3 linked regions of the Cricetulus griseus genome follow. The protein of the gene in region 1 interacts with the protein of each later gene in a pairwise test. Links are inferred from orthologs where the notes say so. Each region holds a gene or a part of one and is shown in the gene's direction. Other genes may lie near its edges.

Region 1 (9,956 bases):
GAGAAAGCAACAAGAAAATTCAGGGCAAAGTGGACGGAAACAATTTACAACTGGGTTTATAGCCAGATTGTTCTCACTCTGAAGGGAGTTTTTGGAGGTGTGCCGAAGGTTTCTCCCCTCACCCTTAACATGTGGTTCTGATGGCATACATGAGACAGGCTCAGCCAACCTTGGGGTGGTAGTGAAGAGAGTCACAGTGTTTCAGATTTGCTCTTTTTTTCTCTTTTAAGCTCCTACCACCTTCCTGCTCTTCAGTCAGAAGAGTGCCATCAACCGCATGGTGATCGACGAGCAGCAGAGCCCTGACATCACCCTTCCCATCCACAGCCTTCGGAACGTTAGGGCCATTGATTACGACCCTTTGGACAAGCAGCTCTACTGGATTGACTCTCGACAGAACATGATCCGAAAGGCACAAGAAGATGGTGGCCAGGTAACTCAGGCTTAATTTAGAGCCCATTTCTGACTAGAATTAACTCTAACCATCCACACGGCTTCATCTGCCTACAGGGGAAATGGAAATTTTAGGACTTTTTTATTACTCAAAGTAGCTGTACTCTACGAATATCATTATTTGATGATGGCATTGGATTGGAAATTTTATCAGGGAAGCTAGGTCATTAGTGACTTTTCCACCACTGTTCACATCCATTAATGCCATTTTTTCATTATCCCTTTGAATACATGTTTTGAAATCAAGTAGGTCTTTGTTCTAGTCCCAGCTAAGTTTTTTGGTTGAACAGAATGTAAGGCGTAAAGCCCCTACCTGTTTAATAGTTACCTTTTTTACGTTTTAAGACTCATTGATTAAGAAACAGGATAATCTTAGTAAAATTAAAAATGTCAACAATGTGTTATTGATTCTGTATTTTTTTGGTTACTATTTGGGGACTTTAGAATGAGAATAAGGATAATATCAGTCTTATCTGTGCCTATGTGCCATTGTGGATTTCAATACTATTATTTATACTCCTTCCTTCTAGGGTCAGTCAGTGTAAGCTTGAGATTACAATAGCTATCTATCGTCTTCCTTATTCGAAAGATTTTAAATTGGATTTTGAATGGTTAAAATTTAGAGAAATATTACTCAATTTTTCTGTCTTACCTTACAGTAAAGAACAAGGAGGGCGAGATATACATACATTCATACATACATACATACATACATACATACATACATACATACTTACGAGTGCAATGTGGTCATACTTTGTACTCCAGCTGTACCTTGTACTACATAGGCTAGTACTCAATAACTGGTAGAGAGAAATTACACAGCCAAAGATAATAAATGATATAAGTAGTTTTTAAAAGGCTATATTAGCTCAAAGTCCTAGTAAATGAAATAAAATTTATATGGACAGAATAAATAGACAAATCTGCTTTTGGTTGGCTTTACAAGAAAAAAACTTATTATTAATTTGTAGTCAGGCATCTTGGTATAGGGCAGTAGTCCCAGCATGTAGGAACCTAAAAATGAAAGCTCCTAGCCAATAGATTAAGACCCTGTGTCTGAATAGTGCGGCGTGCGGGCGTGCGTGCGTGCGCTCCTGATTGCTATTTTCTCCAGAAGAATAAGGTTTCTCACACTTGGTATTGCTGGTCTTAGGGACTGCACAGTTCTTTGCTGTAAGGCTACCCTATGTATGCACTACAGGATGTTTAGAAGCATTCTTGGTCTGTATTTATCCAGTAGTCATCAGTAGGTTTCTCACATTTTGACATTCCCAATGCCCATGGATGCAATATCACCCTTAGTTGAGAACTACTGCTCTAGAGGTATCTCCAGGGTGTGATTGGAGCCACAGTTGTTTATAGTTATGGGGGAAAGCTGGTACCTCCTCTGATCAAGACATTGTCAGATTCCTGGACTATCTTTGCTATCCTCAGCATACTCTTCTGTTCCATAAAGCAACCCAGGGGGATATTTGAAATGCATGTTAACAAGCAGATATACCACTCATAAAAGCCCTTTCTATAAGAAATATCCCCAAAGACTGGATACCCTTCTGAGGTGTGACCTCACAAATTAATAATTGTGGTCATGGCCTGTAGTTTGGTGTGGAATCTAACTTGTGTGTTTTTTCCTTTCTTTAGGGTTTTACTGTAGTTGTTAGCTCAGTTCCAAATCAGAACCTCGAAATACAGCCCTATGACCTCAGCATCGATATTTATAGCCGTTACATCTACTGGACCTGTGAAGCTACCAATGTCATTGATGTGACAAGATTAGATGGGCGATCAATTGGAGTGGTTCTAAAAGGCGAGCAAGACAGACCCAGAGCCATTGTGGTAAACCCTGAGAAAGGGTATGTTACAAAAGCCTCAGTTTTCCACTTTCGCCTCTGATGCCCTCTTCACCCTTCCTTGCACCAGCAAACAACTCTACTCAGTGTTTCCCATTTACTTGGTCCTGCATTTTCTTACTGTTTTTTCTGATTTTACTGCCCAGAGTTCTTTCATTGGTTTAGTTCTAAATCCCACCCATACCCTCCAGGACTATTTCACTGCCACATCTTCTGTGTGGCTTGCCTTGATCTCCTTCATCCCCCAGCCAGGTGTGATTCTCTCACTTCTGGAATCTAGTGCCTACTCTGTGTCTTCTTAGTCATGATTATTCCTTTCCAGTTTGCTTTACTCAACTGTTTTTCTGTTACATGGTTATTACTAGACCTTCGGCTCCATTATAAATAACTAGTATGTCTGCTTTCATTTAATGGAGTTTGTATGTGATTTAGAAAAAAAAAAAGTCAATGCTCAGCTGCATCTGAATAGATGATAAGGGCATTAGCAGGAAAATGGCTTAATTCTAGAGTTACAGAAAAGGGATGAAACCTATAAATGATTTGTGTGTCCCATCTTTGGTAATTAAAATGGTTAATTAGAGAAATGCCTAAAAATTTTGTAACTAGATCTCTCTGGACATTATTTTTTTCTGTGAAATTTAACTCTCTGAACACTTACTTCTTGGTGCCCTCTGTGACTGTTATTAAAAATAATAAATATATCCCTTGACCTTTGTAAAAAAATAGACTGGGAGTGGGCAGGGAGAACCTGGAGAAAGTTTAATCAGTAGGTGCTCTCAGTTGAGCAGCTCTAGCACACTATTGCACAGTAGGCTGATTGCTAAGAGCGACCGACTGCAGAGTGCATACCCCAGAAGTCCATCAGAAAGACTTTGTTTACCGTAAACAGTAAATGCTTGAGGATATAGATATATTTAACCTAACTATGAAGTATATCCGTGCTTTGAACTGTCCGATTATTCCATTATATGCATAGTATGTCTTTGCATATAGCTGAGAATTTTTAGATAGATTTGAAAGTATTTTACCTCCTATCTTTATAAATAAATGTTTGTGGTTTGGGGGATTAAGCCCAAGGCCTTGCACGTGTTATGCAAGTGGTCTCCCACTGAGCTGTACTTTCTGCATATTCTTAACAAGAATATTCTCAGTTTGTCTGGCTCTTTGGTAACTTTTTCTCCTGTTGTTTTCAGGTATATGTATTTTACCAATCTCCAGGAAAGATCTCCTAAAATCGAAAGGGCTGCCTTGGATGGAACAGAACGGGAGGTCCTCTTTTTCAGTGGCTTAAGTAAACCAATTGCTTTGGCACTGGACAGCAAGCTGGGCAAGCTCTTCTGGGCTGATTCAGACCTCCGGCGAATTGAAAGCAGTGATCTCTCAGGTACCCAAAGTGTTTCTGTATCGTGACTTAAATTTTAAGATGATTTCACTACTGTGCATTTGTACTTCTTTTGTGTTGTTTTTGTACATGATTATAATTTTTTCATTAAATATATTCTGCATTATGTTAGTTGGGGGGATGTTTGAGATTACATCCTTGTTCCCTAATTACTCAGCAGTTTTGTTGATCTGAAAATTATGTATCTTTTTGTTTTCTTTCCTAATTCTTCCACTCTACTTTTACATTCTGTCCTCTCTGAAATCTAGCCTATGATTGATCTCTCTGCATTTTTCCATATGAAAGTTCAGAAGCACTCTCCCATATGCAGACGTTGTTCTGAAGTGTGTTTCCTAATATGTCTCCTTAAGATCTGAGTATTCTCACTCTTCAAACAGTCATCATTTTTACCTTTTGTTTCTCTGTGGTCTTCTCTCTTCTATCATAATTCATGATATCCAGTTTCTGCATGGCCTCTTTAGTGACCAGGAAGATAAAATTGAAATAATACACTGTTTATTTTTGTCAGAATGGCAAAAAGTATGTTGAAGTTTATTAAACCCAGTACTTGCCAGGATGGTAGAAATAACATACTCTCCTAAGGGTGAAGGTGGAGCTCATTGGTACAGCATCTGCCTAATGTGAATGCTGAATCCTGTCTCCCGCACCACAAATCCAGGACACTTTGGGGTCAATTAAAAGAGTAGAACCTCTAGTGGAGGACAGTCTGCCAATAGTTACCAGGATTGAAAGGAGGTAGAGCCTTTGATTTGGCAGTTACTCTTTTAGATGACTGTCTGACAGAAATACTAACAGAGTGATCACTGAACATCATTTGTGATAGTGTTTCATGGAGAAATTCCATGTAGCCTATCAGTATGTGACTATCAGTGCCACTCAAGAATAAGGAAAGGTGTTAAGTGCTTGTAATCATAGCACTTGGAAACAGAAGCAGGAAGACTCTTATTTTGAGACCTGCTGGACTAATTCCAAAAACCTGTTAAAACAAAAACAAAAACAAACCAGCCAGCCCCCACCTTGCTATGTGAACCTCTCTGTTGCCTAAAAGCAGTGGTGGAATTTCTACATAATAGAGACAGTAGCACACCCATTTGTACCGACAGATAAAAATGAATGTGGATTCTCTCCAAAGTTTTAATAGTCTAAAGAACCTATCAACATTATATGAGAATTGTCTCCCTAGCACTTGGTAATGTTGGGGATTTTTATAAGTCCAGTAGTTTGAAATGTATATAATAGTAGCAATTTTTTCTTACTTATGGAAATGGAACAAAATTTCTTTTGTGTTGATTGATAGTTTGCATTTCCCTGTTTCTTACTGCTCATAAGTCCCATCCCCCGTCCCCCGACACCCCCCTTTCTGTCCCCATACCACTGTTTTAAAGAAAGCCTTGCACTGTTTACCACACTGACCAAAAACTTGAGGTACCCCTGCCTGCTTATGCCTTCTGAGCAGCTGCAATGTGGGTATATACCACTGTACTCATCTGCCATTTTCCACTTTGAATTTCTAGAATTTTTTTGTGGGTTCAGAATATGAATTTACTGCTAAGGTATATGAAAGTGAATCTGTCTGGTCAGGGTCAACCTTGGCCTTGTTTAGTAGAGTTTTATCTGGAGTTATCTTGTACTTTGAGGTTCATGGGAACCTCCATTTGCTGATAAGACAAGAAACTTTGCATTTTTGTCTACTTAGTCTCAATACCATTGACTAGACAATCTGCCTTTTCCACTATTTTGAGATTTAAGTTTAAAAAAATAACTGTTTTGCCTGAATGCATGTTTGTGTAGTACATGTGTACCCGGTACCTGCCAGGGACTGGAGTTAGAGACGGGTGAGCTGCCGTGTGGTCACCTGGAATCATGCAGCTCACTGCTAGAGCACTTGTCTAGCTATAAGCAAGGCCTTGGGGTCAGTCCTCAGAAATGCGCGCGCATGCACGCACTCTCTCTCTCACACACACACACACACACACACACACACACACACACACACACACACACACACGAAAATTCTTACACATATGAGTCCATAAAACTTTTGATTTTGGCCGGGCATTGGTGGCGCACGCCTTTAATCCCAGCACTGGGGAGGAGAGGCAAGCGGATCTCTGTGAGTTCGAGGCTAGCCTGGTCTACAGAGCGAGTGCCAGGATAGGCTCCAAAGCTACACAGAGAAACCCTGTCTCGGAAAAAAAAAAAAAACTTTCGATGTTGCTGACTTGTACATGGTCCTCCTTTTTCTTCAGAGGATATGTTCTGAGATCCTCTGAGAGCATGGATGACACCAAACTCTAGAGGTGCCAAGAATCACCTGTCTATGCTTCAACATTACCACACCATCCAGAAGCTAATCCCCCCTGCCTTGTATTACTGTTCTTGGACATTGAGTCCAGGATATTACAGGATTAGTCCATAACCTGTGAGTCAGATGGACTGTGTATTTTTAGAAGCCAAGTGGAATCAGGGTAGAATTGTTTTTGATAAATGTCTCAGGTGTTTGCAGAACGTGGGGGGTGCTAAGCATAGAACCCTGGGCTTTCTACCACTGCTTCATCTAGACAAGCATTGCTTTCATCTGCTTTGTTGTGTTAGTTTTTCATATAATTTAATTTGAAAATGGATTCTGCTAAAAACAAATTGAAACTCACTGTCCCAAGTTCTTTGCTACATTTCCTAACTAGAAAAGTCCCTGTATATTGGTAATTAATTCCCAGTTGCACATGTCTGGTTTAGTACCGTTTTCTGGTACAGTTAAGTCTCATGGTGCAGAGCTTGTATTTCCCATACTTTTCGAGTCCACTTAGTATTCATTGGATAACTGTGGAAAGTGGGATTTGGCCACACAAATCATTACTGTTGAATATTTTCCTTTTCCAAGGTGCCAACAGGATAGTGCTAGAAGACTCTAATATCTTGCAGCCTGTGGGTCTGACTGTGTTTGAAAACTGGCTCTATTGGATTGATAAGCAGCAGCAAATGATTGAAAAAATTGACATGACTGGTCGAGAAGGAAGAACGAAGGTCCAGGCTCGAATTGCTCAGCTGAGTGACATCCATGCAGTAAAGGAGCTGAACCTGCACGAGTATAGTAAGTGAGGTGGACGGTGCAAGAAGCACTGTGTGTGTTGTAAGAAACAAGACATGGTCTTGTGGCTTCTTCACATCATTTTTCTTCTTTACTTTGTTATTACATTTAGAAAAACATTGTTGAGTATGAAATCTTAGCACCAAGGGGTGGAGGCAGGAAGGTTGCCCACTTGAAACCAGCTTGGACTGTCTAGCTAGACCTAGTCTCAGTAAACCAAGACCTGGAATGTAGCTCAGTAGTAAAGCACTTGCTTAGCACCCACAGGACCTGGATTTGGTCTTCAGACCAAGTAGATAATTGAATAATATTGTATACCTGAAAGACCGAGAACCACCTCTGTTGATGCACATTCAGATATCATAAGTAATGTCCGTTTGGGGCATTCTGCTCCTTTGTGGATCGTCGACAATCTTAACATCAACACAAATTTATGTAGCACCCATATTATGATGGAAAACAAATCATAATGGATGGCTCTATTGCATAATGATAACAATACTGTAACAGCAAACACAGGGTTGTTTGTAACACAAGCTAAATAGAAAATTCAGAGCAATGACTTCATAAAGTACAAGTTGTGAAATCGACATTGAAAAGTCGCCTAATGGCTTGTCTTTTTAGCTTCACCCAAGTAAGAGGAAATTAGATCTTTGTTATGCTATCTTTGGCAGTTGAACAAGCATATAATTTTGTCTATTTCAGTTCCATGTGACCATTAAGTTTTTCCTTCTACTAACTTTAATGTTCTACAAATTATTTATTAAAATATGCTTTTTTTAAATGAAATAATTTATAATTTATCTTTTAGAAAAGTAGAAGTTCTGAGTTAAAATATTTAAAAGAGAATTCTCAGTTTTAGAAACAAAACTATGTGTCAGAAGTCTCCCCTGGCAATTTTTCTAGTTCTATAAATCATTTTTTTATTATTAGGCTTTTGAAACCAGCTTTTGTTGTGTGGTCCTGGCTGGCCTGGAACTTGCTGTGTAAACAGTCCTGGCCTTAACTTACGGGATCCAGCTGCCTCTGCTTCCTAATACTGGAATACATGTGGCCAGCCAATATCTTAATTTAAAAAGTAATGCAAGCCTATCATAGTTAAGTTTTATTCATTGTATTTATCCATAGTTTTATTGATCATCTTTTTTAGGTTTGTTGTTGTTTAGGATTGAACCCAGGGCCTCACTCATGGCAAATACTCTTACCTGGAGCACTTTCCCCAGGCCTTGCTTTTATAATACTTTAAAATGAAATATGCATGCCTATATAACATGCTAGATTTTGTACATGCCTGCAATCTCAGTAGTTCTAGAGCTGAGATAAGAGGATCATCACTTGGACTTAAGACCAGCTGGGACAGTGAAGACTCCCATATCATTCCCCTACTCCATGCAGTGGTTATACAGAGATACTTTGTTAGAGGTTATAGAGATGGAGTATGGAATTACACTGTATAGAAATAAAATCAGAACTTATTTATATTTGGTATTGTTTGTGGTTCATAAATCATTGATTTTGATAATTACATTCTTTTCCAGGACAGCACCCTTGTGCCCAGGATAATGGTGGCTGTTCACATATTTGCCTCGTAAAAGGAGATGGTACTACAAGATGCTCTTGCCCCATGCACCTAGTTCTGCTTCAGGATGAGCTGTCCTGTGGAGGTAAAGATGTTAAAATCTTTCTTCTGCAAACCAGAATTCCACATCTCAATCTAGCCATCTGTGGCTAGGCAGTGAAGTTGCTATTTTCCCTGACTTAATTGGTAATTTGTGTTCTATTTATTTGCACAATACCAGGCGTACCTTTTTTCCTCTTTGCCCCCAGACTGTCCCTACTACTATAGTCTCCAGTGATCACTTTAACTCTGTTTCTGTGTGTTTGGATTTTATGCATTCCACATACAAGCATGATTATGTGGTGTTTACCATTTTGTGCCTTCTTTATTTCATTTAACAGATATTCTCTAGGCTTATCTCTTTGTAGCAGTGATAGGAGTTCCTCTTTTAAAAGTCAAATATTATTATATATGTGCTGTGATATTTTCAGCCTATGAATTATATTTCCTAATACCACAGTAGCTACCCCACTCCTCAGGGGAGTAATAAGGTTAATTCACTCTGGTCTTCACCCATTGAATTTTGAATTTTCTCTGCGTAAGTGTCATTGTTTGGAATGCGTACAGTGAAAGGAATATTCTTTTGTTCAAATCCATCAAGATTTTTCTATTTTAAAAAAGAGTAAAACAAAAATAAAACCCAATAATGAAAGAAAATTTACACAAACCTATGGTGTATATGTCTGCAGGTATGTAGGGTTACACGCATGCATGCTCCCATATGTCAGCAGGTATGTAGGGTTACACGCATGCATGCTCCCATATGTCAGCAGGTATGTAGGGTTACACACATGCATGCTCCCATATGTCTGTAGGTATGTAGGGTTACACGCATGCATGCGCCCACTCGCAAGTGCAGAAGACAGCTTCCTTATCTCTCTTCTTCCACCTTGAGATAGAGTGTCTGTTTATCACTGCACTCCAGGCTGGCTGGCCTGTAAGCTGCTGGGCAGTCTCCTGTCTACTTTCCATCTTTCGTACGAGAGCTGGGATTACAGGTGGAAACTACCACGTCCAGCCTCTCACCTCAGGTCCTCACAGGTACACCTAGGGTTAGCAAATTTTCAATATGCTCTTTTGTTAAATCATGGTGTGGCAATACTGAGCACCATGGTAATGTTCATACTCTTAATTAAGAAGTCCTCTTCCTGGCGATAATACACAATTTTAACTGGAGAATTTTGATTGTGGTATGCAAAACTAGCGATTTAAAAGGACTCTAGTTTCTATTTTTCAAAAAAAAATGCTGAATACAGCAACTGAATAAATAAAATACTTCATTTTATTTATTTCTGTATTTATTTTAGTGCCGGGGATGGCACCTAGTAATGTGGACACTAGTCAAATGCCTACCAGTGAACTTTATCTCCATTCATTTAGCAAATACTGTGGTTAGGAAGCTGATATAAAAGTGTGTTTGGCTTAAGGGGGAGAGAGCTTCTATTTGCTTGTTTCTTTGTAGTGCTGAGACTCACCAACCCTTTCATTTGGATCTTAAATGTTTCCCATTTTAAGACCATGTCCTACCAGACTGTGGGGCTG
Region 2 (10,056 bases), on another chromosome or scaffold:
ATCTTTGTCCCACCAGGGCGAAAGCCCCGGCCAACAGGTATTTCAAGGATTTATCCCATTAAAATACTTGATTTTTAGCCAGGTGTTGGTGGCGCATGCCTTTAATCCCAGCTCTTGGGAGGCAGAGGCAGGCAGATCTCTGTGAGTTCAAGACCAGTCTGGTCTACAAGAGCTAGTTCCAGGACAGCCTCCAAAGCCACACAGAGAAACCCTGTCTCAGAAAAACAACAACAAAAAAATCTGATTTTGACTAACACCTTGTGTGTGGTGTATTTAAGCATTTTACTTTTTTTTTTTTTTTTTTTTCCTAGAAACAAGGTTTCTCTGTGTAGCTTTGGAGCCTATCCTGGCACTCGCTCTGGAGACCAGGCTGGCCTCGAACTCACAGAGAGATCCGCCTGCCTCTGCCTCCCGAGTGCTGGGATAAAGGTGTGCGCCACCAACGCCTGCCTGGCTTAGCATTTTACTTCTTTAGGCATTCGGCAACAAAGGGTTTTATTAAACCTTCCAGTAACCCAGAGCTGAGCTATTCAGGGAAGTAGCTCCAAATCTCACGGTCTTGTAACAACTGGATTTTTCTGATGTAAAGATGGCTGAATTCAGATCAAGGTGTCCCGGGATTTAGGATTTGGTCGATGACGAGCTCAAAAAGCTAGAAAACCAGCTTGGAGAGTGGAGTCTTGGAGGAACTATGAACAATCTGGAAGAATTCAGGTTGTGATGGCTGGTGGATACAAACCCCACCTGGGCAGGGCAGGTGTCACGCCCGAGGCCCAGAAAGGGGAAGGGGTTCCCCCAAGGCCACACAGTTGCTGAGAGATAAGAGAGGGAATCAGAGCTCAGGGCCTGTTGGACTGGCTTCGCTATAAAACACCACCCTGTGACGCCCTGAGGGGGAACGAACATTGAACCGGGCAACTGCTTATCTATCCCAGCGAGTGCCAGCCCCGGGTTGGGTGGTCTCAGATGATGCAGTCAGTTGGCAGTGAGGAGAGGATCCAGGACCAGGATCCTGGCAGGAAATAGGCTCTTGTGGCAGCCTGTAGGCAACTGCTCCCTCTCCTGGGTGATGTAAGTCACTCCCTGGGGTGGGAGCCACTGGGTTATTTCTGGAAGTTGGGATGAGACATATCTCCTGGCAACGGAGATGCAGCTGAGTTGCTAGTGGGGTGACAGAGGAAGGCGGATGTTGTCACTGCAAGAAGCAGGACTGGCCAGTAGCCTCAGCAGAAACCTTGAGAGCAGCACTTCCAATCACAAGACTCTATAAGTGCTCGGCTTCACAGCCCCTTGGAGGTCAGGTCAGGGTCTATTCAAACTTGTTGCCCCAGATTCTGACTTTGTGTGGGTGTCACAGGTCCTATTTGGCCTTAAAAACAGCAGCATCCCCCCCCCCCCGTTATCCCTTTTGTTTCCTGAGACAGGGTTTCTCTGTGTGGTCTTGGCTGTCCTGGAACTCGTTCTGTAGACGATGTGAGCCTCAGACTCACAGAGATGCACCTGCCTCTGCCTCCCGAGTGCTGGGCCTTCGAAGACCCTATTTCAAAAGAGAAGGGGGGGTGCTGGGGATGGGGCTCGTTGGTAGAGTGCTTGCTTGTTTAGCATGTACAAGAAGACCCTTGGGTTCAATTCCCAGCATCCAAAACCTGTCGTGGTGGCACCCACCTGTAATCCCAGCATGGAACAGGCAGGTTAGAAAAGACATCTTCAGCTTCGTCGTGAACTTGAGCAAGCAAGCTGGAGTTATCAGGTCCTGTTTTCAAAAGAAACAGAAACAAAAGACACCTGACCTTGGTCCTGAGATTTTTTGCTTCCAACCAGAAGATCCTTGAGGGCATTTTACAGATTAATCCATGCCAAAACCAAATCCCATTTGTAAGGACAGCCCTCCTCCCAAGTCCCTACACAACCCCTCCAAAGTCTCTTCAGTGTCGTGCTTCACCTAGTCAGGCTGCTTGGAAACCGTCTTAATGTCTCATTCTCTCACAGGTATCTCTTGAGCTTTCTCCATCATGCCCCAAACAATGGCTTTCCGATGCCTGTGGCTTATCAAAGACTTCTTTCATGCAGACATCTCTAGGACCCCCTTAGACACTTGGAGACATTTTACAGCTCTTCTCTGACATTCGCCCTCCAAGTGCCCCACGGAGATTAATGCAAAGACCGGCCGTCTGCTCAGGTCATACCGGCTCCGGCGGTTAAGTAATGGGTTCTGTGCTGACACACACACACACACACACACACACACACACAACACACACACACACCACACACACACACACACACACACACACACACACACACACACACACACACACACACACACACCACACACCACTCACACCACACCATTCACACACCAAACACAGACACACAGACAACACACACAGACACACACAGAGACAGACAGACACACACACACAGACACACACAGACACACAGACACACACACCAAACACACACACCACTCACACCACACACACACACACAGACACACACACCAAACACACACACAGACAGACACACACACACAGACACACACAGACACACACACCAAACACACACACAGACAGACACACACAGACACACGTGAGACTTCTTGGTCCTCCTATGCCTTGGGGCTTGACTTAAATTTTACTTTTCAACTCCGAGCAGCCGTCAGAGGGCGGCAGCCGTCCGTTTGGCTGTGCTGCACCGGAACCGCCCTCTCCAGTCGAGCGAGCGAGCGTGAAGCTTTGCAAAGTGGGCGGAAGGACCTGCGCTTTGCCTTCTGGATAACGTAGTCTGAAGGAGAGAGAGAGACGGAGACAGAGACAGAGAGAGAGAGAGGAGAGGGAGAGAGACAGAGAAGAGAGAGAGACAGAGAGAGGGAGGAGGAGGAGACAGAGAGAGGGGGGAGGAGGAGAGAGAGAGGGATTCCCAGTATCGTTTGGGATACGAGTTCAGGACATAAGTTGTCTCATTTATTATTATTATTATTATTTTTTAGTCGTGCAGCTCGTCCTCTTGGCTGTAACCACGTTGTCAGAGAGAGGGAGAGAGAGAGAGACAGGGAGAGAGAGGGAGAGAGAGAGAGGGGGAGGGAGAGGGAGGGAGAGAGAGAGGGAGTGACAGAGAGAGGAAGAGACGGAGAGAGAGAGAGGGAGAGAGAGGGGGAGAGAGAGGGGGAGAGAGACAGAGAGAGGGAGAGAGACAGAGAAAGAAGAGGGGGAGAGACAGAGAGAGAGGAGAGGGAGAGAGAGACAGAGAGAGAGAGGAGAGGGAGAGAGAGGGAGAGAGACAGAGAGACAGAGGGAGACAGAGAGAGAGTCCCCGAAAACAAGCGTTGGGACCCGCGGTCGGTCGGTCGGTCGGGCCGGGACTGTTCGTGAAACCCTTGGAGGATTCAGGGAGGAAACGTGTTTCTCTTCCCAATCTGTGGCCCTCGAGGGACTGGCTCCTTTTCCCAGCAGTGGCTGATGGGCTGAGGACCAGGGAGGAGACATTGTAACTCCTAATAGTTTCCCCCCGGGAACTCTCGTCCTTAACCTTTCACCTCCACTGCCAGCCACAGCACTCCCTTTGGACTACGTTTCCCAAGAAGCCCTGCACCTAGCTTCACAAAGAGTCAGATTCCACTGTGGACTCTTCCCAGCATGCCTCTGGCTGCTGGTCGCTCCCATCCCCTTCCTCAAAGATGAGGCTGTCTTGAACTTCATTTCCCAGAAGACACCAGGCTGGCTGAAGCACCGCGCTTAACTCTTGGTGTCGACTACATTTCCCGGAAGGAACTGCGGCGCAGCTAACTGGACAGAGAGAGCGCGATGCCCGCTCCATTTCCTATCCTACCTCTTCCAGTTACAGTATCTACTTGGGGTTTGAGGACCACCTGAGTCTTTTCCTAGCGTGCTTTACAAAACGCTCTACACCTGCAATGCGGTGAGGGCGTGGTGACGACTCCATTTCCCAGTGTGCTTCACAGATCAAGAACCGAGGGTGCACGAGTGCGGACTCAATCTCCCAGAAGGCACCCGGCACAGGAAGTCACCGACCAGCCCATGGGAGTGGATGGGTGACTGGACTCCATTTCCCAGAATGCTTCAGGGTTGGAGGCCGCTCCGGGATGGAGGGGCTAGGATTTCATTTCTGATAGCCTCTGGGGCTTGCTGTTGCATCTGTGTAATGAGCGTCTTGCCCTGAATGTGGCTTCCGAAGTATTTTAGAGTTGCCTTTGGTCAGGGTCGGGTGACATTATCCAGGACTCTACTTCCCGACGTGCAGCGCGAACCGTATTTCCCCCCCACCCCTTTTCCCTCTGTCCCCCCTCCCCGCCCCCCTCCCCCCCCGTCAGCTACTCTGAGGTCTTGAGAACTCCATTTCCCGGCGTGCTGTGCGAGTCCGAGGGTGGCGACAACGAAGCCGACGGCAGAGGGACTTCATCTCCCGGCGTGCCCCGCGGCGGGCGCTGGGCCGGAGCCGGAGCCCGAACGGCGCGGCCTGGAAGAGGCCGGAGCCCAGGGGAGGCGGCGGCAGAGGCGGCGGCGGCAGGGGCAGCCCAGGCAGCCCGAGCCCGCGGCCCTGGGCCTGCGCTCGGCGCCATGAGTGGCGGCGGGCCTTCGGGAGGCGGCCCTGGGAGCTCGGGCCGGGCGCGGACCAGCTCGTTCGCGGAGCCAGGCGGCGGAGGCGGAGGCGGTGGAGGCGGCCCCGGGGGCTCGGCCTCCGGCCCGGGAGGCAGTGGCGGCGGGAAGGCGTCAGTCGGGGCTATGGGTGGGGGCGTGGGCGCCTCGGGCTCCGGGGGTGGCCCCAGCGGCAGCGGCGGAGGCGGCAGCGCTGGCGCCGGCGCGGGCACTAGCTTCCCGCCGCCCGGAGTGAAGCTGGGCCGTGAGTACTTAGGGGCGCCCCGTGGGGTGGTGGTGGCGGCGGTGGCGGCGGCGATCGGGGTCCCCCAAGCCCGGCAAACGGCGGCGGCCAGGCTTTCTTTGGTATTTTTTTTTTATTATTATTTTTTATTTTTATTTTCTATTTTTTTTTTCTCTTTTCCCCGGGACCCAGATAGAAAGAAGCAGCTTGAGGTTCACCGTGCTGTTTCACACCGGGATCTGGGCTCTCGGGGCTCCCGGATAAAGGAGTTGGGGGGCTCCCATCCCTTGGAGTTTAGAATCAGAATTACCAGCATCCGAGAAGCAGAGGTCACAGGCCCCATTCTTCCAGTATCCAGTATCAAGGTCCCGGGTACTTGACGACGCTGCCATGCACTAGGGAACAGGATCAGAGGTCATAGTTACTTGCCAGTGGTGATCTAGGATCATTGTCCCCTAAGAGACAAGAATAAAAAAGATCACTGCCACCGTCCTATACGGAAAAGGGGGCGGGGGGGGGGCACTGGTTTCCTTTCCATCAGAAATGGGGATTTGGATGGAATGTCTCTTTTAGAAGTGCAGACTTAGGATTACTGATGTTCCCACAGAGCAGGGCCAGGCTTGAAATATAAGGCCTGACATGACCACCTTACCCATCGAAAATGTGTAGACTTGTGTCCCCAATGCTGACAGCGAGTTATCATTGCTGTTTGTAAATGACAGCAGATTGGGAATAGCAATGAGCTTCAAATCAAACAGTGTTCTTTTTAAAAAGAAAAAAATGGGGGGGGGGGCGGGGCTGGTTAGCCAAAAAATAGAATGGGGTGGCCTGGGTCACACCTACTATAAAATACGGGTTTGAAGTGGCCGTCTTTGGCTCTGGGGAAAAAAAAAAAAAAAAAAAAAGCAATGTAGGATTATTTTTCAAAATGTCATACACTGCCCCCTCCCAACTGGAATTTGTTGATAAGTTTTCGGAAGGTGACTGGGAATGGCACTAAGAATATCCCACACATCCCAATCAGTGCAGTGTTAGGTAAGAGCAACAGCAACCCCCACCCCTAGCAACAAGTGAGGGTCAGGGCACTGTCAGTTAGCCCCGTTCATTTCCGTCACTCAGGAGCAGTGGCAATGGTCCTTGATCTGCCAGGGAGGATTTAGAAGTTAGTGCCCTCAGACTGTGAGAATGGCCAGAGTTTTCTGGAAGAACGAACACCTCATAGTTTCTGCTCCTTTGAGTGGAAGATGGTACCTTGTGGTGGCCCTGCAGAAGGGGCCAAAGGCCGGGGAGCCCGGTGCGGCTGGGTTATGCACCGAGGGTGTTGATGGTCCCCCACCACCAAGTGACTTGCTGTTGTTTGCTAAAAGGAGAAAGTGGGTACTTACACATTAATGGAAATAAGTTTGCATGTCCGTGCCCTCCAATATGGGAAGCAGAATGTAGGGTTCCTTGGAGGGAGGCTCCGGGTTACTGGAGTAGCTAAGCTCCCCTCCCTGTCCTCAGGTATTGAACTCAAGGTGTGTGCCAGACAGTACTCTGTCACCAAGTAATCACTGTCCCTTCACCCACAGTGAGTTTTTTGAACAGCTTTCCCTCCCTGGGAAAGGTCAGTAGATTGTATTCCCTTTGTTCCTTAGGTGACAGCGGGAAGGTGACCACAGTGGTAGCCACTCTAGGCCAAGGCCCAGAGCGTTCCCAAGAGGTGGCTTACACTGACATCAAAGTGATTGGCAATGGCTCATTTGGAGTCGTGTACCAGGCACGGCTGGCAGAGACAAGGGAACTAGTGGCCATCAAGAAGGTTCTTCAGGACAAAAGGTTCAAGGTACCTTGAGTGGACTGGCGGTTTGGGGACTGGGAGTGACTGCTGTTTGTGTCCAGCAATAGGACTAGTATCTGGAATTTAATGTTCTTACTATTATTTATTAATGTGTGCATGTGTATGATGTATGTGTGTGCCATGATGCATATACGGAGGCCAGGCAACTGTTGGGAGTTGGTTCTCCTACCACCCTGGAATCTGGGGATTGAACCCAGGTCATCGGTCTTGCATGGCAAGCACTTCTATGGACTGATGTGTCTCACCAGCCTGAGCCCAGGATTTCAGCGGGACCTGAGCATGGGCCTCAGGAGAGAGGGAATTCCGGTGAAGTGAACTGGGGGAAATGTAAATTTCAGAAGAGCTGAGAGCTAATGTTTACTGGGCATTTCCTTGGTGTTAAGTGCTTGACAGGCAAGTTCTAATTTAATTGACCTGAAGCATCTCTGAGGGCAGGACCTGCTGCTATTCCTGCTCTATGTCAGCAGAAATGAGGCTGCATGGTAAGGGCCCCTTCGGGGGAAGGCTCTGGCCTGTAGACTCGGAAGTCCCTCTCCTCAACCACTTGGTCACATCTCTTCCAGAAGAAAAGGTCAGATAAGGCTGATGATGATGGTGGCTCTGAAGGACGTGCTCTTCCCCAGGCGTCAGCCAGTGCTCAATGTAATCGAGCCCTGACGGTGCTCATTTGAGCCCCTTGCCTTGTGCAGGGCAGGGCTGCCTCCAGAGGATAGGGTGCTCTGTGAGCTGCAGAGGCCTGGGGAACTAAGTAGCAGGAGAGAGGAGGGGGGTGCACGGAGGACTGTACCAGACCCGACGGGTAAGCGGGGCTGGGCAGTGAGGGCTCTTGGACAGGAGCAGCTCTGGGGTGTCAGTCAGACCTTGGTGGAGCTGAACTGCAGAGCTGGGGCGGATCTGAGAAGGGTTCTGATGCCCTGGGTGGGACCAGACAGTGGGAAGAGGCCCAGGCACGGAGGGGAAGGTGAGGTTGGAAGGTGCTGAGTTGTGAGTCCCCAGCACTTCCAGGGAAGGTGGCGTGTTGAGTTGTGAGTCCCCAGCACTTCCAGGGAAGGTGGCGTGTTGAGTTGTGAGTCCCCAGCACGTCCAGGGAAGGTGGTGGAGGGGGACGGGGGTCAGGGAGAAGCAGACAGCCACTGCTCTCTGCTGCTGCTGCTTTTGCCTGTGTCTGGTGTGACGTTTCCGTGGTCTGATTTCTTTAGTTTTGTAGTATGTGGGATGGAACCCAGAAGTTGTGTGTGCTGTGCGAGCGCTCTACCACTGAGCTAGCTAGATCCCTAGCATCCTTCTTTGTATTTTGACACAGAGCTGCCCCATGGTGCTCTGACTGTCCTTGAATTTGAGGTCCTCCTGCCTTAGCCTTCCAAATTGCTGAGATCTTAGACCAGCACCAGGCCTAGCTTCAGTAAATTCTTCAAGAGATGCGGAGGGTGGGCTTTATGAAGAAACTAACTGACCTTTACATGTCAGCAGTAGTTAGAGAACTTCTAAAAAGCAGCTTGAAGTAAACACACTGGTGGCCCAGGACTAACTGGCCCATAGGCTGTAGCTTGTGTGTGAGGGGAAGGGGCCAGAGGTTGAAGTGAAGAACTAATTTTCTTCTCCCTGCCCCAGGCCTTGCAGCCTTGAGTTTGGGGCACAAGGGACAGCTGCCTGCTTTCTTAGCAGAGATAGATGGAGGGTGAGGTGACGGTGCTGGGCGGGGGAGGCGGGATTGTGTGTATTGAGACTCCTTTTGCCCTGCAGAACCGAGAGCTGCAGATTATGCGTAAGCTGGACCACTGCAATATCGTGAGGCTGCGGTACTTTTTCTACTCCAGTGGCGAGAAGGTGAGATGCTGGAATCTGAGGGGTAGGGGTGTAGCCACACTCGGATGCTATCCATCTTCCCGCCCTCTTTCCCACGAGGTCCTTCTGCTCCTCACTGGTCTCTGCACACCTTCCCTCTTAGCTTACAAGGTCTCTTCTCCCCTTTGCCCTCCAGAAAGATGAGCTGTATTTAAACCTGGTGCTGGAGTATGTGCCCGAGACGGTGTACCGGGTGGCCCGGCACTTTACCAAGGCCAAGCTGATTATCCCTATCATCTATGTCAAGGTATGTAGGCAGGCTGCTGGAGCACAGGCCCACAAAAGCAGGGGCCCTGGGGCTACCTGTGTCTAAGGTTTCCTTCATCTTTGAATTTAGGTTGGTCTCTGGAGGCCTATGTTCCCTGTCTTCAGCCTTGTAGCTTGCAGATGGGTTTGGCTAAGTCCAGGGAGGGCCAAGGCAAGGGCTTGCCAAGGAGGTGGCAAAGGGGTTGGGGTTAGGTGGGAAAGCTAGAGTGGCAGGAAGGTGTGCCCACACAGAAGAGCCAGGCAGGCTCTCCCCAGATCGCCTGTGGGTCTGTTGGTGGCTTCAGCACCTTGTGCCCTGATAAGCTGTTGCTAATGTGGGCTGTGCCTGTGGCTGCCTGCTGCTGCTGCTGGGCCATCCACACTGGGAGGACAGTTCGGCAGTTGCGAGCTGTACTATGGCTGCTTCTATGCTCAGCCAGTGCTGAGCAGTTCCAGAGGCACAGCTGACTGAAGGCCAGGCCTTGCCCATGGAGAGCTGGGCATGGTGGTACACACCTTGTGTCCCAGCACTCAGGAGGCAGAGGCAGAGGCAGGAGGATCTCTGACTTTAAGACCATCCTGGTCTACATAGTATGCTCCAGGACAGCCAGGGCTACATAGAAAGACTGTCTTTAAAAGAAAATAGCTGTTTGATGAGGTTATAGGCTCCGTCACAGAAAATGACAAAGCTGAGGAGCTGCTGCTAAGGCAGAGGACCACAGGGAGCTCTGGAAACTGAACGCCCCTTCCCTGCCTGGCTTGGGGTTGAGAGCCATGAAGGAAGATTGGGAAGGGAGTGGTGTGAGCAGGGGGTCCCAGAAACAGCCCTGTGTGTCAAGGGGTCAATTGGTTAGTATATATTAGGCATTGCCCTAGGCCTAGGAGACGCAAGAGAAAGCAAAGCCGAAGGCCCTGGCTGCACATAGTGGTGCATGCCTGTAGTACAGCACTGGGGAGGCCGAGGCAGGAGGATTTCAAGTTCAAGGCCAGCTTGAAATCTAGTGTGTAACTCTGGGTCAAAAGAAAAAATTCCCAGAAAGGTTCCATGGGTAAAGGTGCTTGCTGCAAGCTTGAGGACCAGTCACTGGGACCCACACGATGAAAGGGAAGAACCGACACCGGCAAGGTGTCCTCTGGTTGCCTGTTATCTGGGTGCATGTGTAACCCCCTCCCCCAGAAGCAGGCATGTATACACAATCAAAGTGTAATCCAAACTATAACAAATCAAAACTAAAAACCCTGCTTAGGTTCTAGTCAGTGGGCGTAAGGGAGGCAGGAAGTGAAGC
Region 3 (10,056 bases), on another chromosome or scaffold:
AGGAAATATGGGAGCACAAATATAACTGGGAAAATGAGAAAAAGGAAAGGAGTTTTAATTAGGAAGGGGTAGATAAATACAGATGACGAAGGATAAAATAATAGGAAATCTATCTGAAGAAGTAGTAGGGAATCATTTATTAACTATTTACCTAAAAAAAGAAATCCCACTATACATATATGTTTGTGTAGAAATATATATCTATGGTTCAGATGAAATTTTCTCTTCTGGCCTGACAATGTTCTCTCCAAAGCCAAAGACCACCTAAGAAAGAACCCAAAAGCAGACACAAGAAGTCCTCTTTTGTGTTGTTGGGTAGTGTTGTTCAAGAACATACAATCTATGACTCCCATCCTTATTCCCCTCCCTCCTGAGATGTGAAGGATGATAAGTCCCTATTGTTGAAGATAGCATGTACCTCAGAGGCAGGGACCAGAGACCCCTGAGTTGGAGCTGACCTGAATGCCTCCTTTCTAGAGACTAGCATTCATGGTATCAGAAGGTGCTGTGCAAGCTTCCAATGAAAGAAAGCAACCAACAGTCCTACCCAGCTATGATAGCTATAAACCTAAACAATGACCAACATGGCATGATATACCCAAGACTTTACCAGTTGCACGAATAACTTTGTGGCAAATAACAGCTCTCTAATTATACTTAAGACACATTCAACAAGGGGAAAACCATGACTGGTGCTGGAAACAGCCAATCAGCTATGGCTAATGAAGTCATGGATCTTGGAGGAGGACCTACAACTACCAGTTTACTAAACCAGCATAATCCCTAACTGCATTATAAATATTTGTCATTATATGTACAGATAAGTATAGTCTTCACCACTCGATGAAGAAACTTCTATTTGCAACAGATTTGGACCATTACAGAAAACTACAATCAAAATGCAGAGTTGTGAAGCTCAGTTCCAATGGATACATCTACAAAACACTTCAAAAACCTAACCAAACATTGCATAAGAGAAGATAGAAAGATTGTAAGAGCCAGAGGACCAGGGAGTTTGCTGTGAGATTGTATCTCCTAGTAAATTCAGAAGCTGTACCCATAAATTCTCCCCAATATGACTGCCTTAACAGGAGCAGAACAAGGACAATAGACATGCCCAAGTGGATGAGGGAAAGACTATATACCTCAACTCTACCCAAAGAACTATAGGCAAACAAGGAATGTTGTGATCAAGAGAAATACTCTTCCCTGGGAAGAGTACAAAAATTGGTTATCCAGCTGGGCGGCCGTGGCACACGCCTTTAATCCCAGCACTCCTCGGGAGGCAGAGGAAGGTGGATCTCCGTGAGTTCAAGACCAGCCTGGTCTACAAGACCAGCCTGGTCTACTGGCCTAGTTCCAGGACAGCCTCAAAAGCCACAGAGAAACCCTTGCTCAGAAAAACCAAAAAAAAAAAAAAATTTGGTTATCCAATACCAATCAATGATCAGCCATGAAAAAATGCTTACAAGAACACTATACAGACTGAGAAGGTTATATTTAGGAATATATATAGGAATATATGTATATATCATCCTCCCATCTGTGTAGTACTTTGTACTATTATTAGCCTCTTTCTGCTCTTTCAGTGTTCTCTTTATGTAGCTGTGCCAATGACACTGCAAATAATTTCATGATAAGAGAGTGCTTCATATATTGTATACACTGTGTCCTATATAGGGGTTTCAGGATGGAATGTGTGGAGCCTGAAATCCAAATCTAACTTGATACCCTCTGTGTGTCTGCTAGCTGGCACTGAGAACAACTGTTCCTGAGTCTCAGGAAGTCACTTGATCTGGATAAACTGTGCTTCCTGGGCCTGTCCCTCCTGTGACCCCAGTGACACTATTTCTTCTGAAAGTGTGATAGTAAAGGCTACTGTGTCCCTGGATCATGCCTAATTGACCAGTTCTTTCACTACAGTTGGTGAGCTCTTCTAGCCTCTAGGTCTTGCTGTAATATAGAAGAGTATCACTTAGTATTTCATTTTTTCTTTACTGTTAAGAGACGTAGTATCTTTTTATACTTAATCTTCCTATTAGTATGATAGACTCATTTATTTTTGCCTTTAATAGAGTTTGATCATTTCTTTTCAAAAGTTTTGCATATATTGTGTCAGATTTATTCCCATTATTTTCCTCATTGCTATTTCACTTACAAAGTTTCAGTGATCTTTATGAATATAAAGATGAACATATTTTTTTTAATTTCCTAATCATTCACAGTAAATCTACTGGTTACCATCTTTCTAGTGATTTATTAAAAACTCTTCTAGTTAATTGGTTTTACCATATGCAATTCTCTTCCCCCCCCCTTATCATTTCCCTTTAGTTTATGTTTTTCTTTGGTAACAGAAAATACGTTTCAATGAATCACAAATGTTAACTTTCTCTGTTTTCTGTTCTTGCCATTGTTTTTTAGGCGAGATTGAATGATGTTTAATATATATTTTCCCCTAGTTATTTTTGTTTTGCTTTTTAGCCCATCTGGATTTTGTTTTGTTGTTTGCTGTGTTTGGGGATGTCAATTTTATTTCTTTCTTCCTCAGAAGTTAGGCAAATATTTAGTGTTATTTTATTCTCCACTGAACACTGCCTTAGTCATGGATTCCTGTCTGTAGCCATCATTTTTATTCTTGTTCACTAGGGAGTTAATGAGTCTTGGAATTTTAGTCAATCAATTAAAGGTGTTCAAAACTCAAGGATACTTTGCCCCTAAGGTGCAGTGGCTTCTGGCAAATGTTTCCAGTAGACAGCTCAGACAGAGCCCACCCTGTTTGCTAGCCTGGCCAGTGTGGAGGCCTACAGGTAGATAAAGGAATTTAGGAACTTAGGAAACATGTTGTCACTTGGAACTGTCTTTTAAAGCGAACCAAGTCTCAATTTCTTGAAAGATTTTGCTTGCTTGCGTGTTTGTTTTGTTTTAAGTGAGAAACAGAGTGAACAAAAAAGAAAAAGGAAAAGGAAATCTGAGGTATTCATTCAGTCCTCAGAAGTTGAAACCAGTCCAGAAAGCACACAGAAGAGGATATATTGTAGGTGTCATAAAGATGACAGGTTGAATTTTGTTTCATTAGGGGAGATTACACATATAGAAATGTAACATTACCACAGGAGTATTTCTTGGCTTCTGCAATTCCCAGTTCCAAAGTTGCTATTTCATCTCTACTTCCTCCCATTTCAACCCCCCCAAAGCATGGAGTACCTGAAAGCAAATTCTAAATATTCTATCTTTGCAAATAAAAGCATTTAGTATATGTCTATAAAGATTAAAAACCCTTGGCAACAAAAAGCACTGATGTAGACTTCGTCTCTCATCCTGCTGAAATTAGGGGAGTGTGAACAAACCTCCATCCTGGATTTAAGTCTTGGCTCTCAGTACCCCCCCCCCACCACACCACAAACACAAACACACTCCCACTCTCTACCTCTGTGGTTCCAGCAGGCCTTCACTACCCATCCCAAAGGTGCCTCCTAGGTAAGAAGAGCAACACTCATCCATTTTGGAATTATTATCAGGATGCTGAATTGGAAGTCATGAAATACTAACTTGGTCTGATTCTCCTCTGGTGTAAAAGACCTCGAGGACAGGTCATCTGAAGGTCCTAGGTCATCTCTGTTCAATCTTTCTCTACAGCACTGTTCCTGAGTTCTCTTGAAAAACATACTACTTTGGCCTTTTCTTTCTTTTCTTTTGCAATCCCAAGCCTTCCTTCACTCAAGTATTCTAGCACTCTGTTTTCCAGGCCCCTTCTGTCTCCCACCCCCCTAATCTCTTACCTCTCTCTCTCTCACTCCCCCTCCTCTTCTTTGTATCTCCCTTCTTTCCTTCTCCCTTCCCCCCATCCCTCCTTTGAAATAGGCTCATTTAGCTCAGGCTGGCCTTGAACTTGCTATGAGGCAAGGATGGCCTCGAACTTCTATGGTTCCTCTCTTCCCCTCCCAAGTGCTAGAATTACCAGTTGCCCATACTTCAGATCTCTCCTTTAATTTTAGACGTCTGGACATGAGTACTAATAACTAGTTCTGAGCAGGAATGACGTTTAAGAACTGTTTCTTGTACCTTTTGTTTCACTGACTACCCCGTATTCTCTCAGTTCCATCCTTGAGAACAGGGAGCTGAATCAGACAGAACTCCCGGATCCTGCCTTGCAAACCCAAAACAACTGAGAGTCCTTTTGGCAACCAGAGCTTCAGAGCAAGCAAACATTTCATGTTTTTCCCTGCAAAAGCTACAACAATCTGGCCGATTTTGATGTCTAAATGTGGGCATCCTTTGGGGGAAAAGGACACTCCCTATAGGGGGAACTCTTAAAGAAACCGTTTTCCTGAAACGGGCTAACTGGGCGGTGTCCTCTTTTCCCAACGCCCCTTTGCTATTCTTAGATCGCAGATCGCGGGTGGCTGCTTTCGATTTTCCCCAGGCGGAGTTCCCAGCGCAGAGGCTGGGCAGGCTAGGCTGGGCTGGGACTGTTGCGGTCGCCTTCTGGGCGCGGCCGGCCGGGCCGAGGGCTGGGCCTGCAGCAGAGGCAGTGGAGCAACTGTGAACAGCAACCTTCCAGGCTCGCCCGCCGGCAGTCCCCGCCGCACTATGGCCAGTGGTGGCTCGCAGGGCTGCGAGGAGGAAGAGGAGGAGGAGGCGCTGAAGAAGTTGATAGTCAGGCTGAATAATGTCCAGGAAGGCAAGCAGATTGAGACGTTGCTCCAGCTCCTGGAGGACATGCTGGTGTTCACTTACTCCGACAGAGGTAATGCCTGCAGCCGCTCCTTTAGCAAACTTTATCCTGCACTTGGGGTGCTAGTCTTAGGCACCCCACTTCTTTCCTTCAGGGGGAAGGAACTGGGATCCCAGGAAGGTCGAAAGGATGCTGAGGATTGTGACTTTGTTTTCTTCCTCCACTTCCCTCTTTTTCAGCTTCCAAGTTATTTGAAGGTAAAAATTTACACGTGCCTCTGTTGATCGTCCTGGACTCCTACATGAGAGTCTCCAGTGTGCAGCAGGTAAACAGGCTGTTCCCTTCTGTTCTGAAGACCCTTATATGATAGGCATGGTGGCCTGGGTTCTTGAGATTAGCTTTCAGAGGGAAACGTGGTCAGTTGCTACCGCTATTAGCAGAGTAGAAGCAACTTTATTAACTGACAATCTAGATGGTGGCAGGAGTAAAATGAAAACACTTCTCTTATTGGCACGGCGAGTTCATTAACCTTTCAAGCTAGTCTAAGAAATTTCCTAATATGCAGTGTGTTTTTAATAGGGCATTGCTGTGATTAATTCCAGCAATTGGGGGGCGGGGATTAAGTAATCAGGAAAAAAAAACAGTCACATAAACAGCAAAATTTCATAGGGCCAGCTTGTTTACATGGTTTTAAATCAGAAGACATATTCAAGGCTTTTCCTGAAGTGTACCTCAAAGTGTCCAAAGAAAGTGATGTGTCCTGAGTTCCCTGTGTTTACATTTCTACTTTGCAGCTGTTGTCACACAAAATGGAGACAAAAGTGTAACTTCTAGGATCTGTGTCACAGAAAGCCCAGAAGTAGGCTAAGTAATGAAATGTGACTTTCAAAGCAGCCCCAGATAATTAATGTCTTTTGGTCAAGATAGAATTACTTCTGAAGGTACTAACTTCCTTTGGAGTTTTTCGATTTGGGGAATTGAAATCAGTTTTGTCATCTGAATACTAAGACTTTTAGGGGAACTCTGTGAAGGTGCAGCGAGAATATTCCTTCATATTCATGCTAGTGACTAGACAGAAGTAAGGCTTATCTCACTCTCCAAATTCTCCCTCCTCAAGTTCTCACAGTAAAGCCCAGACTACTTGGAACTTGCCATCTTTCTGCCACAGCCTCCCCAGTGCTATGATTGCAGGTGTATGGCTTTAGTTTTCTTTTATAAAAGCACACTTTTGTTTGCAATAATGCATTTTTCCAATTGTGAAATATTTTCTATGTGGCTAATGATTTTCAGGTTATTATCAAACAAAATCAAGAGAAAGATGGAGGAAGCATGAAAAAGATACTTTTAGCAGTCAGAGTCTGAGATTTACCCACGGAATATGAATCATTTTTAAGAAGTGTTTTGCTCTCCACCTACAGCATCCTTCTTGCTTCGTATTCAAAAGTGTCTAATTCTGGTTACCTACACTGCCAAGGGCTATACTTGTCTGTTTTCCCCTTGTCTGTTTCTACCCTCTTCACTTTTCTTCTTTATTTTCTTTTCTTCCTCCTCCTCCATTTCTTCTTTCTCCTTCTTTTCCCCTGTCCTTAACCCCCCCCTCTCTTGGTAGGAATTAAACACAGGGCTTTGCATGTACTAGTTAAGCACTCTACCAGTGAGTTAGCTACACCTAACCAAGACATTCTAATTCTTGATTATAAAAAATGCCCAAGTGTGGACACACTTGCCTGCAATGGTTATGATGTTGTTTGGGTAGGAGTGGGAGCAGCAAAGTGTGTTAGAAAGGAACAGCCTTTGGTTTGGTAATATAGCAGAATAAAATCAGTACATCCAGTGTTCTTTATGTGTCTATCAGCAAAGGGGTATATGCATATTACATTAGTAGATTCTTACTGGAATCTCACTGCCCTTGAAGAAAGCGGACCAATGTCTTTCCTTCAAATTGATTAAATTTAGAGTGAATAGTCCCTGGGGGAGCTTGTAAGAGAGTGAGGACTCAGATATGTTCATGACTCCAAAATCTTCTTCAGCTGGTGTTGAATTCATAAGATGTTGTGTAAGCAAGCAAAAGTCTAGTGGCTTAGCACAGATGCTATGAGCATGTACAATGGCCACATCATCAGTGGTCTTCTCAGGAGATATAGAAAAAGTTCTCTCTCAGTACTGAGATTTTCAACAGTTTACAGGAAAGTATTATTTTCTTTTAAATTTCTTCACATGATTGGTGTGATTGCATGAGTATCCTTTCCTATTTCTTGCATCCAATTAGCTAGCTGTACCAAATGAAAATCTCTCGGTGAATGTAAGGAGTTTGGTGAGTCCTCTTCAGAAGTGTGCTAAGGTTTTCTTGTTAGAGTCACCCAACACAATATTCCAGAGTCTGGATTTTTACATTTTTCTTTATCTGTGCTTTTTTGCAAGTGCAGATCTCAGAGAACTGCTGTCAACCTTGCCCTATGCATTCCTCTTCTCATCAGTCACTTTCTTTTGGTCCTCAATTTTACTTCTCTTTCCCCAAGAAGTTCCAACATTTGAAGAAGGATAACAAAATAAATGGAAGTGGGTTAGATGTTATCCAACCACTTGACTTTTTTGAATTGTTTATGAGTGGGATGCTTGGATTTATAGAGCAATTATAATAGAGAAAAGCTGTCTACTGTAAGTATGCAGGGTAAAAACTTTCTCTTATTGAAAGGTAAGTTCCTAATTGAAAGATTAATGCATCGCTTGTTACCCCTGCTTTGTTGCTGGAGATTTCACTTAGTCACCGAAGCTCTGCTCAGTGATTGCAGGCTCAGCTACTCAGATGGGTCTTTTTGCCAAGCAATTATTGATGCCGTGGCTTTAGCAACCCAAACAAAGCAGGTTTTCTCAGTGAGTCAGCTGTACAGGTATGGACAGGAGTTTAGCATCCTATAATACATTTCCTCACTAGAAGCTCATGAGAATGCTACTTTCTTAAATGTCTGGGGAAAAGGCTTCACATAGTTTTTAAAATTTAAAAAATAGAAACAGTTGGGTTCTATGACAGCTGGATTGTTAACGTCTTCTTATGTTGATATATTGCTTATGCTTTAATAAAGCTTGCCTGAAGGATCAGAATGCAAAGCTAGTCACAGCTGGGCGGTGGTGGCACATACCTTTAATCCTGAGTTCAAGGCCACCCAGGGCTACACAAGACTGAATCAGTCTAAAAGAGAAACAGAGCTCTCACAAAGGTGATCTCAGCACATGGGAGCTCACACCTTTAATCCCAGCACTAGAGAGTATATAAGGAGCTCAGTACAGTCTCAGAGACCAGTCTAGGATTCTGAGGCTTGGTGGATGGTAGTGTGATCTGGAGATGCAATCAGAGGACATAATTGCCCCTTTGGTCTGAGCATTGGTAGAGGGGAGAAATCTCTACTGTCTGGCTGCTTTGTTTTTCTGATTTTCAGTTTGAACCCCAATATCTGTCCCTGGATTTTTATTATTCATGCTACCTCTTCTGCTTACATGGAAGGGAGGAGGGTATCCAATTTAAATATAGGTAAAAATAAATACTCTTAGAGATTTCTGCCTTTTAAAGGAATTGCAATTATTTAAAGGGAAGTAGTGGCAACATGAGGCAATTCACGCTTAATTAAAAAATAGTATAGTAAAAAGACTTCAGCTCGAACAATGCTGTGAAGAGATGAGACTTTAGAGAGAGCCTATGAATTTTATCTTTTGTGAGATGCCTCCTATCTGCTCATGCAAACATACAGATGTGTGCCACTGCCCCATAGCAAACAAGTGTGAATCTCTCACCTTGCCATTCAGCTCTTTGCATCATTTATCTTCACTTCTCTGTCCAGTTTTCTTCAGCTGCTGTCTCTTCCCCTGCACCCAGTTCTTGTCATGAGCTCCCTGCTCGTCTTAGCGCTCATGAATTTTGAACTATGGCTGAAGTCGTACCTCTGCCACATTTTGTCTTTCTTTGAGTAGTTCTGACTCACAGTGTGAGTCTTTCTTTCAGGATTCATATGATTTAGTATTTATCATAAGTCATTCTCAGATACCCTTTCATTAATTGTGCATTTCATCAATTGTACATTTCATTAACTGTGTGCTACCTTGATAATAATTTTCTATTTTGTTTCCTGACCATATTGAGTATATTTCTTTAGCATGTAGGAAGAATAAAAGATGCTTCAGATTTACAGAGACAGTGGGAAGAGTGGTCAGATCTCTGAGTTAAAATCAGGAGTTGGTATTGTTTTTTCCAAAGGAAAAGAATGGTATGTTGATTTTGGAGTCAAGTCTAATTAGCTGTGCAAAGATAATTTAAAATGAGTGCTGAATAGATGACTTCACGATTAAGAGCACTTCCTGTTCTTTCAGAGGCCCCTTGTCTGGTTTCCAGCACACATATGGTGGTTTTCAAGCATATGTATAATTCAAGTACCATGTGTACTTCTTGGTCTTTGTCAGCTTGACACAGACTAGAGTCCCTGGGAAGAGGGGACCTCAATTGAGAAATTACCTCCATTGGACTGGCCTATGGGCAAGCCTAGAGGGCATTTTCTTGATTAATGATTGTGGGAAGGCTCAGTGCACTGTAAGCAGAGTCTTCCCTGGGGAAGGTGGCTGTGGATTGGTTATGGATTGGACAAGAAAGTAAACTGAGCAAGCCAGTGAGCAGCTTTTGTTCACAGTCTATGATTCAGTTCCTACCTCCAGGTTCTTGCCTTGAGTTCTTGCCTCAGCTTCTTTTAATGGTAGATTGGAAGCTGTAAAGATGAAATAAACCTCTTCCTTCCTGAGTTGCTTTTTGGTCAGAGAATTTCTCACAGCTTCTGAGACATTAATTAGAGCATGGGAGTTCTGACCCCAAGGCATCTCCTGACCCCAAGGCATCAGTCACAAAGGTGGCATATATGCACACATGCAAGCAAAACCTTCAAACATAAAATCAACAAATCTTTTTTTTAAAAAGATGTATGCAAAATACAAGGGTTACTTAGGTGTTCTGCCTTCTATTATAGTTTCTTTTTCTAGTAGCAGATGTAGTTTCAATCATAGGACAGTACTGCTCATAGGCCTCTATTACCCAAGGCCAGTCATTTCCCGTTGCCACAAAAATCTTCAGCATTCTCCAGTTCTCCATTCCAAGCTCCTCTCTCTTTCTGTAATCAAAATTTTGAATTCTTGGGAAAGATATGTCAGATATTGATGTTAAAAAAGCAATAAGGTATGAGTATAGCCACTCTTGCTTAATAACTTCAGTCTTCCCTTAAAATTGTTACTTATTTTGGTTTATTTAGATAAAAAGTGTTGTAATTTTAAAAATCCACATGAGAGAGAAAGATACTTTGTGACAGAGTTCACATGGAGGGTGTTTTTATTTTTTTATTAGGGGA

What was found.
Region 2: the proteins of Lrp6 (region 1) and Gsk3a interact in binary tests that used the Homo sapiens proteins (3 or more experiments, as listed by UniProt). The link is inferred for Cricetulus griseus from reciprocal best matches to the Homo sapiens genes LRP6 and GSK3A.
Region 3: the proteins of Lrp6 (region 1) and Lrrk2 interact in binary tests that used the Homo sapiens proteins (3 or more experiments, as listed by UniProt). The link is inferred for Cricetulus griseus from reciprocal best matches to the Homo sapiens genes LRP6 and LRRK2.

What each region holds. Positions count from the first base shown.
Region 1 is NC_048601.1:14,477,983-14,487,938, forward strand, and holds part of Lrp6 (low-density lipoprotein receptor-related protein 6), read left to right. Parts: intron 1-230; coding exon 231-433; intron 434-2,097; coding exon 2,098-2,309; intron 2,310-3,499; coding exon 3,500-3,690; intron 3,691-6,589; coding exon 6,590-6,799; intron 6,800-8,334; coding exon 8,335-8,460; intron 8,461-9,956. UniProt on the Homo sapiens protein: Component of the Wnt-Fzd-LRP5-LRP6 complex that triggers beta-catenin signaling through inducing aggregation of receptor-ligand complexes into ribosome-sized signalosomes.
Region 2 is NC_048602.1:9,983,948-9,994,003, reverse strand, and holds the start of Gsk3a (glycogen synthase kinase-3 alpha), read left to right. Parts: upstream 1-4,467; 5' UTR 4,468-4,577; coding exon 4,578-4,860; intron 4,861-5,031; coding exon 5,032-5,211; intron 5,212-6,476; coding exon 6,477-6,664; intron 6,665-8,422; coding exon 8,423-8,506; intron 8,507-8,660; coding exon 8,661-8,771; intron 8,772-10,056. UniProt on the Homo sapiens protein: Constitutively active protein kinase that acts as a negative regulator in the hormonal control of glucose homeostasis, Wnt signaling and regulation of transcription factors and microtubules, by phosphorylating and inactivating glycogen synthase (GYS1 or GYS2), CTNNB1/beta-catenin, APC and AXIN1.
Region 3 is NC_048595.1:388,185,417-388,195,472, forward strand, and holds the start of Lrrk2 (leucine-rich repeat serine/threonine-protein kinase 2), read left to right. Parts: upstream 1-4,433; 5' UTR 4,434-4,590; coding exon 4,591-4,747; intron 4,748-4,914; coding exon 4,915-5,000; intron 5,001-10,056. UniProt on the Homo sapiens protein: Serine/threonine-protein kinase which phosphorylates a broad range of proteins involved in multiple processes such as neuronal plasticity, innate immunity, autophagy, and vesicle trafficking.